Ovis aries: one gene and its partners. The protein of the gene in region 1 interacts with the protein of each later gene in a pairwise test. Links are inferred from orthologs where the notes say so. Each region holds a gene or a part of one and is shown in the gene's direction. Other genes may lie near its edges.

The links.
Region 2: the proteins of HOMEZ (region 1) and SNRPB2 interact in binary tests that used the Homo sapiens proteins (3 or more experiments, as listed by UniProt). The two-hybrid records come from large-scale screens. The link is inferred for Ovis aries from reciprocal best matches to the Homo sapiens genes HOMEZ and SNRPB2.
Region 3: the proteins of HOMEZ (region 1) and MAD2L1BP interact in binary tests that used the Homo sapiens proteins (3 or more experiments, as listed by UniProt). The two-hybrid records come from large-scale screens. The link is inferred for Ovis aries from reciprocal best matches to the Homo sapiens genes HOMEZ and MAD2L1BP.

The regions. Positions count from the first base shown.
Region 1 is NC_056060.1:21,434,983-21,437,935, forward strand, and holds the end of HOMEZ (homeobox and leucine zipper protein Homez), read left to right. Parts: coding exon 1-1,286; 3' UTR 1,287-2,395; downstream 2,396-2,953. UniProt on the Homo sapiens protein: May function as a transcriptional regulator.
Region 2 is NC_056066.1:10,387,645-10,391,323, forward strand, and holds the start of SNRPB2 (U2 small nuclear ribonucleoprotein B''), read left to right. Parts: upstream 1-729; 5' UTR 730-3,167; intron 3,168-3,679. UniProt on the Homo sapiens protein: Involved in pre-mRNA splicing as component of the spliceosome. Associated with sn-RNP U2, where it contributes to the binding of stem loop IV of U2 snRNA.
Region 3 is NC_056073.1:17,151,240-17,154,991, forward strand, and holds the start of MAD2L1BP (MAD2L1-binding protein), read left to right. Parts: upstream 1-1,008; 5' UTR 1,009-1,019; coding exon 1,020-1,089; intron 1,090-1,697; coding exon 1,698-1,966; intron 1,967-3,752. UniProt on the Homo sapiens protein: May function to silence the spindle checkpoint and allow mitosis to proceed through anaphase by binding MAD2L1 after it has become dissociated from the MAD2L1-CDC20 complex.

The DNA.
Region 1 (2,953 bases):
TTAGCTGGTCATCTGAAGAAATTGAAGAGACTCGAGCCCGAGTAGTCTACCATCGGGACCAACTCCATTTCAAATCCCTTCTCTCTTTTACTCATCATGCAGGGCGGCCCCCAGAGGAAGTGCCTCCTTCTCCTGTGCCACCTCCGGAACAAGTTGGTCTTGGAATAGTGCCCCTGACTCTTAGCGAGCCCACCCAGATGAAAGGATTGAAGGTAGAGCCTGAGGAGCCACTGAATCACCAGAAAGCAAAGGAGACCCTGATGGTACCTGGCAGTGGAGCATTCCCCCATCAATCGCAATTTTGGCAGGATCATCAATGCAGTGGCCTCTCCAAGGAGCAGGCAGGCAGGTGTCCCGACCAGTCACACAGCCTAGGTACTGCCTCCTGGAACCATGCCACAGCTGTCCACCAGCCCCATGCTCGGGATAAGCCCGAATCCATCTCATTACTTGCCAGTAGTTGTAAGAAGGAGTCAGCATCTAATGTGACTCCTCCTTCCTCTACCTCTTCTTCCTCTTTCCAGGGACTGGCTAATGGAGCTCCTGCCACCTCTAAGTCCCTCCAGCCACTGGGCTGTGCCCCACAACCACTGTCACCCAATGAACAGGCACTACCCCCACAGCTGGAGCCAGCTTGGCCCCAGGGGCTAAGGCATAACTCAGCATCAGGTAGGGTTGGCCCTGCAGAGTATCTTTCCCCAGACATGCAACGCCAGCGAAAGACCAAGCGCAAAACCAAAGAGCAGTTGGCTATCCTCAAATCGTTTTTTCTACAGTGCCAATGGGCACGGCGTGAGGATTACCATAAATTAGAGCAGATCACTGGTTTACCTCGGCCTGAGATTATTCAGTGGTTTGGTGACACACGCTATGCCTTGAAGCATGGGCAACTAAAATGGTTTCGGGACAATGCAGTACCTGGTGCCCCTAGCTTCCAGGATCCAGCAATTCCTACACCACCACCTTCAACCCGCTCCTTGAATGAATGGGCTGAGACACCACCTCTGCCAAATCCCCCGCCCCCACCGGATATACGACCCTTGGAGAGGTACTGGGCAACCCACCAACAGCTCCGGGAAAGTGATATCCCTCAACTGAGTCAGGCATCAAGGCTTAGCACCCAGCAGGTACTGGATTGGTTTGACTCTCGATTACCTGAGCCAGCTGAAGTGGTGGTCTGTCTAGATGAAGAGGAGGAAGAGGAAGAGGAGGAACTGCCAGAAGATGAAGAGGAGGAGGAGGAGGACGATGACGACGATGATGATGATGTGATCATCCAGGACTGAGTGGGAGGCTGGGGGAGGGGAGGTCTGTTACTAAAAGACAAACCAACTTAGTTAACTGTTTAAACAAAGAAACCACATTATTTTCTTTTTAACTTACCTTGTGGCAAAGAACTGAAAAACTTTGTGTTCTTGAGGGTGGGGGACAGGGATATAGTAAGGGTAGACCAGGGAGGATGACCATGGAGTACAAAACGAGGTGGGGATCAGACGGGCAGAAATCTAGGCCTCCAATCTCACTGAGGGGCTTGCTATGGGTCTGGGAAAAGGCTCTTGCTCTTTTCATATCCCTGTTCTTTCACCTTACTATTCTACAGAGAGGCTAGGCTTTGGCCCACGGCCATGGAGTTCTGTAAAGGAGGAGGAAAGTTTCTAATACGACCCCAGTCCCAGCATTTTCCCCAAATATAAGGCTGCCTTGCACCTCATTTCTCTCTGAACACAAGTTCATGCATTAATGCAGCTAAGAATCTCAGTTATGTCCCAGTCAATCGCAAATACTTCCTCTCCTCATACCAGCTTGATTTTCTGTGTTTTCCTGCTGCTTTTTGAATCTCACAGGGAGCAGAATGTTTTCATTTCTGATACTGGGACCACTATGCCTTGTACCTTTCCAAAAATCCCCATTCTGTTCACTGTTTGTCTCAGGGTAAATCTTCCCCCCGGAGCTTGTGAAAAAGTTTAATAATTGGGTGGAGAATAATTTAGACTGGATATTTATTGGAGGGAATTAGGGGAGATGTCCTTTTAAAAAAGTAGAATTATAGATTACCGAGGAGTAAAGGAGAGGGAATGGTGTCTGCTGTTCGGGAGGACAGTCCAGATAGATTCCAGGTTTGGTTTTACAAACCTGACACTCCCACCTGCCTAGTTTGACAGAAACTGATTTTTTAATCTTTTTGGTGTTGGTCTGTGTCCACAAAAGAGACTTTACCCCCTGTTTATAATATCTGTCTTGAGGACAGAAGTCCTTATGTTTTAGAGTGGTTTTCATCAGTTGGGGTCAGATATAAAGATATCAGTGGGTTAACCATCTAGAAATAAAAGAGTGGAAGCCCCAAATTGCTAGACTAATAATAAAAAGGCCAAAAATAAAATTGTTTCTCTCTCCACTTTGCCATTTCTCTGGTTTAAAGATTAATGGAACCAAATTCATCTACTTTCTGATTTAGTATACTTTTTATTTTCAAAGCAGCAGGATATACTGAGGTAAAGTAAATGAACAAAACTTGAAATAGATCAGTACCTATTAATAGGCAGATTGCTTTCCACACCTGCTATAGCGTAGGTTCTCTCTCAGAAGAGGGGGAGTCTAGAAATGCCTTTAAAAATAAGCTCAGTTTCAGAAAACGTAATAGGATCCTATTCAGCTACCACGTCATTCCTAAGACCTAATTTATCTCTAGCGGATGCTCTCTTCAGTTTTCCAGTATTTTCACTTAAGGTATACCTGCCTATGGTCCACCCATTTAATTCCTCATTTCTACCCCTTACTACCCAAAGAAGAATAAATGTTTGATCTCAGTGGTAATGTTCTTTGCTTATCCCACCATTTGAGAGTTTACGACATCAACAGAGTTACAGTAGCAATAAAAGGGCATCCTCTTTGTTTCATTATCTGTATACTTTAGTAGGGCTTCAAGCCTGTGTTTCCAACTGTTACGAAACAG
Region 2 (3,679 bases), on another chromosome or scaffold:
GCTCCAGGAGATGCTGCAGGACAGGGAAGGCTGGTGTGCTGCAGTCCATGGGGCTGCAAAGAGTCGGACACGACTGAGTGGCTTAACAACAAAAAGGCTACTGTGAGTGTTCTGAGCACCTTTGTGATAGGTCTGGATTAAATGTGTGATGCTGGGTAAGTTAGGTGTTATTACATGTGTTCTCAGTTGCATCTTACAGTGCTTTCAACTTACTGATGTGTTTGTCCTGTCTAGTCGTGTCCAACTGGACCATCCCATGGAGTGCAGGCCACCATGCTCCTCTGTCCACGGGATTTCACAGGCAAGAATACCGGGGTGGGTTGTCATGCCCTCTCCTCCAGGGAATCTTCCCAACCCAGGGATCGAACCCAGGTTTCCCGCATTGCAGGCTGATTCTTTACCGTCTGAACCACTAGGGAAGCCCACAGATGTGTTTATCAGGATGTTCTAGGTTAAACAGCGCTAACTCATGGTGACGGAACTGATCACCGTCTGTCCTTATACTCTTACTGCGCTCCCCCAGAATTCGAGTTAAACCCACAGAATTCCCCCAGGCCTATTTCCCTTACCGCGTTTCCCCTTCACACCTGTTCTCCCCATCCACCAGGTGTGCGCATGCTCAGAGCGATTACTTACTGTGGTCTAGACCGACGGACATCGATCCACTCTGGGCTCGGCTTCTTGACTGATCGGCTTTCGATTGAGGTGCGTGGTAGCGTCATTTCCGGTGGCTGGTTCCGCTTCCGGGTTCTGGCTTGTGGTTGTTACGGGACGTAGAGGACCTGTTCGGTGAGTTGGCGGGGTTTTTTTCTTCGCTCTCTCCTCTCTTCTGGCTGCGGGTTGCGGCTTAGGCAGACCTTCCCCTGCGGGAGCCGAGAATAAGCGGTCCGCTGCGCTGGGGCCGGAATATATGCAGCCGAGGGTGCGTGGTGGGTCGCCGAGGAAGGCCTGGAAACTGACGCTCGGGTCTGGCGAGGCCCCTGGACTTAGAGCTTGTCTTAGGCGGGACACTTTGGGGCCGGGCATGGCGTGGCCGCTTCCTGGGGCTTCGGGCGGAGCCCGTGGGCGGACGTCGCTGCGTCTGGAGAGCCGGCACCCTCGCGCGTGTGAAGTTACGGAAAACCTTCGCGTATGCGAGGCGATTACCGCGCGCCGTGCGTTCTCAGGGACCTCCCAGAGGCTCCCCTTTTGAATCCGGAAGGCGACTCCCTGCGCCCCTGCTCAGTTTGATCCCTGTCACTTCCTTCTCTTCATCGTCTTCGAGTCACCAATCCACCAAGATTCAGTTTAGGGGTCTCAAACCTCTGAGAGGCGTTCAGTTCAGTTCAGTCGCTCAGTCGTGTCCGACTCTTTGCGACTCCATGAATCGCAGCACGCCAGGCCTCCCTGTTCATCACCATCTCCCAGAGTTCACTCAGACTCACGTCCATCGAGTCCTTGATGCCATCCAGCCATCTCATTCTCGGTCGTCCCCTTCTCCTCCTGCCCCCTATCCCTCCCAGCATCAGAGTCTTTTCCAGTGAGTCAACTCGTCTCATGAGGTGGCCAAAGTACTGGAGTTTCAGCTTTAGCACCATTCCTTCCAAAGAAATCCCAGGGCTGATCTCCTTCAGAATGGACTGGTTGGATCTCCTTGCAGTCCAAGGGACTCTCAAGTGTCTTCTCCAACACCACAGTTCAAAAGCATCAATTCTTCGGCTCTCAGCCTTCTTCACAGTCCAACTCTCACATCCATACATGACCACTGGAAAAACCATAGCCTTGACTAGACGGACCTTAGTTGGCAAAGTAATGTCTCTGCTTTTGAATATGCTGTCTAGGTGGGTCATAACTTTTCTTCCAAGGAGTAAGTGTCTTGTAATTTCATGGCTGCAGTCACCATCTGCAGTGATTTTGGAGCCCCCAAAAATAAAGTCTGACACTGTTGCCACTGTTTCCCCATCTATTTGCCATGAAGTGATGGGACTGGATGCCATGATCTTCATTTTCTGAATGTTGAGCTTTAGGCCAACTTTTTCACTCTCCTCTTTCACTTTCATCAAGAGGCTTTTTAGTTCCTCTTCACTTTCTGCCATAAGGGTGGTGTCATCTGCATATCTGAGGTGATTGATATTTCTCCTGGCAATCTTGATTCCAGCTTGTGTTTCTTCCAGTCCAGCGTTTCTCATGATGTACTCTGCATAGAAGTTAAATAAGCAGGGTGACAATATACAGCCTTGACGTACTCCTTTTCCTATTTGGAACCAGTCTGTTGTTCCATGTCCAGTTCTAACCGTTGCTTCCTGACCTGCATACAGATTTCTCAACAGGCAGGTCAGGTGGTCTGGTATTCCCATCTCTTTCAGAATTTTCCACAGTTGATTGTGATCCACACAGTCAAAGGCTTTGGCATAGTCAATAAAGCAGAAATTGATGTTTTTCTGAAACTCTCTTGCTTTTTCCATGATCCAGTGGATGTTGGCAATTTGATCTCTGGTTCCTCTGCCTTTTCTAAAACCAGCTTGAACATCAGGGAGTTCATGGTTCACGTATTGCTGAAGCCTGGCTTGGAGAATTTTGAGCGTTATTTTACTAGCATGTGAGATCAGTGCAATTGTGCGGTAGTTGGAGCATTCTTTGGCATTGCCTTTCTTTGGGATTGCGTTACCTTTCACCTGTTAACCTACAGAACAGTCCTCATCTGTAGGCGTTTTGCTTGTCAGACATCCTACGCTATGCAAGTACTATGAGTGTAAATGTTTGTGAAATGAAGGTATATGTGGGTTATCAGGGAATAAAGCAAGGTCCCAGTTCGTGACTAAAGAGTGGGAAAAATGAAATAGTGTGGTGGGTGTGAAATAAAAGTGCAAGAGACAGAAAACGAGGGTTGAATTTTCAGGCCTCCTGCGTATCACCTATGTAACCGTGGGAAAGAACTTGCATTAACTTTTTGTTTCGTCGCCAAATCATGTTCCACTCTTTGCGACCCATGGACTGTATTCCGCCAGGCTCCTCTATCCATGGGATTTCCCAGGCAAGAATACTGGAGTGGGTTGCCATTTCCTTCAGGGGATCTGCGTGACCCATGGTTCGGGCCCGCGTCTCCTGCGTTGACAGGCCGATGCTTTACCACTGAGCCACCTGGGAATCTGTGCTTTATTCTGTGATAAACAGCAGTGACAGCTGTTGTAAGTGCTTACTGCTCATTCTAAAGCTGCAAAGAATTTTATCTCATTTAGTCTTCTGAGCTCTATTGGGCAAATCACCATCCCCATTTTACAGATATGAACCTGTGAAATTAAGGAACTTGCCATCAGTCAAGCAGCTAGTAAGAAGCATAGAAAGATTTGAATTCAAATCCACTGGCACTAGATCCTAAGTTTTTAACCATCATGCTGTACTATACCAGCGTTTCAAGTCGGTTCCATTTGACTTTGGAATCAGGACTGTTGGTGATGGTGTGTGTAAATTAAGCAATAATATGGAAGTGCTTTATGAGAGTACCCATGCAAGGATTCTTAGCCAATTTCATTAATGTTCTGTATCTTATGATTTTTACTGAACGTGCATTAGTTAGCTTGTTTTTTTCATTTTTCACCGAATCTATTCACTTTTTAAATATTGTTTAAAAGGAAAAGTTTCATTAGGCAAATGGATAAAAACAGTCTCACTTGTCATGGAAGAAATAGGTTATAAAAAT
Region 3 (3,752 bases), on another chromosome or scaffold:
CAGGCTCCTCTGTCCATGGGATTTTCCAGGCAAGAGTACTCTACCACAGCTTTAATACTTCATAAGCTGAACTCTTTTTATTTCTTGAATTGAGAATGCTCTTGTATCTCAAGGTCTTGTTAAAAACAAAATTTAACTGAAGATTTGAAGATCTAATTGGCTTTATTTAACAATTCATGAATCAGGAAGTATCTCATCGAGTAAATACAAAGGCACTCTGAGGTGCTGTACAAGATGCAAGACTTTTATAGAAATGGAGGCAGGATAATGAGGTTATTAGCAAAAGAAAGGGGAATTCCATTTAGGGGGAATGTTGGGGGACTTATCTTGCAGATTACCTCACTAGAGCTGAAATGCCAGACTGGTTAGTTTAAAATTCCACTCCAGGAGAAGCTGAAACTCCTACTAGATTAGGAAATGAGTCTTGGTGGGATTTAGCAGAAGTGAATGCATTTGGGCCTTGTTTGTTTTTAACAGTCTCCAGGACCACCAGACCCTCCTCTTTACCTTTACTCATCTTAAAGATCAATTTCCTCTTGGACCACGCCTCACTCCCACTTCCTCTAGGTTATGCGCTCCTGTTCTCCGCGTCCACTGCCCTTCCACACCTTACTGTATAATTCATCACACTGCCTTGAATCTACAGGCACTGAACCCCTTGAGGACCCCTCCAGTCGCTGGCTTCTTCGCCGCAGACTCCAGCACCTAGGACAGGGCCTGACACGAAGTAGGTGCGTAGCGAATAGAGGACGCAGGAAAGAATGGATGCGAGCGAGTGGGTGTCCTCGGAAGGCAGCGCCAAGTAGTTGAGAACCCGCGGTTTCTCTGTGGGAGGAGGGCTCGACGGACTCGCCGAAGGGTATTAAGGAGGGCTGCGCTCCTTAACAGTGCACTCCATTCCTCACCCAGCGAAGCCTCTGCCGCACAGACACGGCGCCCCTCCCACTTCCGGGCCAGCAGAACAGGAAGTGGAGGCGCGGGCTTCCCATGAAGCAGCGCGGGGCGCCTATTCAAACCGAATGGAGAACGGGGAGGAGGTAGTGATGGCGGCCCCGGAGCCGGAAGTGCAGTCCCCGGCCGCAGTCCCTGGTAAGATATGGAGTCCGGAGCTCGAGGAGTTTGTTTCCTCCCTGCCACGGCTCCCTCCAGTCATTTAGCCCGTAGTCGTTTCACTAGCCCGTGTTCCTTGTCCCCATTTCCCGTCGTCCCTCCCAGCTCTGACTTGGCCCCTTTGACTCCATCGCCCCCGCGGCCCTGAATTCCATTGGTTCACTCTCCTTTTCGCGGCGTGTTCTGGGCTCTGCTTGACACCGCTTTTTCTCAACTCATTTTCCCATATCAGGGCCTCTGCTTTCTGAGCAGATCTCCAGTCTCTGTCTCAGAAATTCCCGCCACCTGGCCCCCCCAAATCCTGCAGTCTCTTAGACAACTGGGATCTGGAACCTGCGAGCGGCCTCCCAGAGGGGAGTTTGCGGAGGGAATCCGCCTGTGTAGGCGTGTGGCCTCAGCTGTGGTGGCTGATGTCCCCACAAGGGATGGAAAGACTGACTCTGGCCTCTTCACTTTTTCTCATCCAAGTTCTAATCAGGCCGGACCCTGTTTAGCTTTGGAGAACAGAGGAGATCGGGCTTCAGGGTGGTATGTCCATAGATCTTTTAAGTTTTTCGTTTTTCTCTCTTGTCCCTCTGTGCACCTAGTAGATTTGGAGTGGTGTGAGAAGTCGGAGGAAACCCAGGACCCCCAGATAGAACTACTTGAGACCACCTCCACCCAGGAACCTTCCAACCCTTTGGAGCCCTTTCGTCCCAGAGACTGCATGGTGCCAGTGGTGTTTCCTGGGCCTGTGAGCCAGGAAGGCTGCTGTCGCTTTACTTGTGAACTTCTAAAACATATCATGTACCAACGCCAGCAACTACCTCTGCCCTACGAACAGCTTAAGCACTTCTACCGAAAACCTTTTCCCCAGGTAGGCACAAGCTTTGGGAGAAAATTGGTGAGTGAACTTTGTGGCTATTAGATGGTGGCAGGTAGAAAGGGTGGTCAAAGGAACCTTCACGCATGTCAGCATAAGCAGCTGTAAACGATGGTTCAGCCCTATGGCTTCAGTCCTTTCCCACTCTAGTCTGGATATTCAAAGCCTTGCTTTTTCTCTTGTTTTCTTTTTCTGAAACTCCTATTGTGTGTTACATTTGGACTTTATGAACGGATCCTCTAATTTTAGTGTATTTTCTCTCCAAATCCTCATTTCTTTGTTTCTGTTATATTTTCTTCCTTGAGTTTATGTTCTTAAACTTAATTTTTTGGCAGTCGCAGTCTTAAGAACTTTTTCTTAAAATTTTTATTTTTTAAATTTATTTTGACTGTGCTGGGTCTTAGTTGCAACCTGCAAGCAAGATCTAGTTCTATCCCTGAACAGGGATGGAACCCAGGCCCCTGCATTGGGAGTTCACAGTCTTACCCACTGGACCACCAGGGAAGTCCCACATGTTCCTTTTTAGTTATATCCTGTTTCCTGTCTGTATGAACTTCCCTTGTGGGTATTAATTACTGTGTTTTTGAAGTTTCCCTCTGTCTCTTGCACTGTCTCTGTTTCTTCCAGATTCCTTTCCTATTTATTTGTTTTGGTCTCTTTCACAGTTGAGGCTTTTATTTGGTGTCTGAATGTTTAAGAATAAGTCATTAAAAGTTCTGTGTGCGAGGCTGGCCCTGTGAGCTAGCTGATAGACTTAAAGGACATTGGGTGGGAACAAAGTGGTAATGATAACGGGAAAGAGGATTATTTGCTCTAATAAAGGTGATTTTGGAGTTATCTTTCAGTTAAACATGGTAAACTGAACACGTTTATTTCTGCTTCTATCTGATAGACTACTCAATGAGAGAAGAAGGAAGGAAGGAAAGAGAAAGAACACTTCCAAAGCATTGTGTTTGGGTGGGGGAAACTTGCAGGCCATCGAAGGGTACTGGGCTTCCCAGGTGGCACTAGTGGTAAAGAATCTGCCTGCCAATGCAGGAGACATGAGAGATGCAGCTTTGAACCCTGAGTTGGGAAGATCCCCTGGAGTGAATGGCAACCCACTCTAGTATTCTTGCCTGGAGCATCCCATGGACAAAGGAGCCTGGCAGGCCACAGTCCGTAGGGTCACAAAGAGTTGGACATGACTGAAGTGACTTAGCACGCATGCACACTTAGGGCCCTTGCACAGGTGTTCACTCAGTCCCCATGTGTTCACTTTTGTGTTCTGTGGTGCTTAAGTGAACAACTCCTGGGCCTTTTACGGACTTCTTCAGTGTGGTTTTGCTTCTCAGGGGAGTCCCCTCTGACAGCACTTGGTATTCAGCTCTCTTGAGTGCTTCCTACTTTCTCTCTTCCAAAAATTTGTTGTCGTCTTTAGCCACTGTCATCTATTTTTTAGTTATTTTTGCCACTGGGAGTCCTCTTTCTCTCCCCTCCCTTCCTGCTTCCCTCCCCTCTTTCTTCCTCCCTCCCACCCACTCTTTCATTTCCTTCCTACCTTCCATCAGTTTGCCATGTTTGTTTGTTTAATTTGTTGAAGGATAATTGTTTTACAGAACTTTGCTGTTTTCTCTCAAGTCTCAACATGAATGCCATGTTTAACTGGAGGATGAATTCCAGAATTTATTAGACCAAATAATCCTTGGTGGTTTTTTTTTTGGCTGAATAATTGCCAAGCACAGGCTCTCTAGTTGCCCCGTGGCATATGGGAATCTTAGTTTCCTAAGCAGAAATCAAG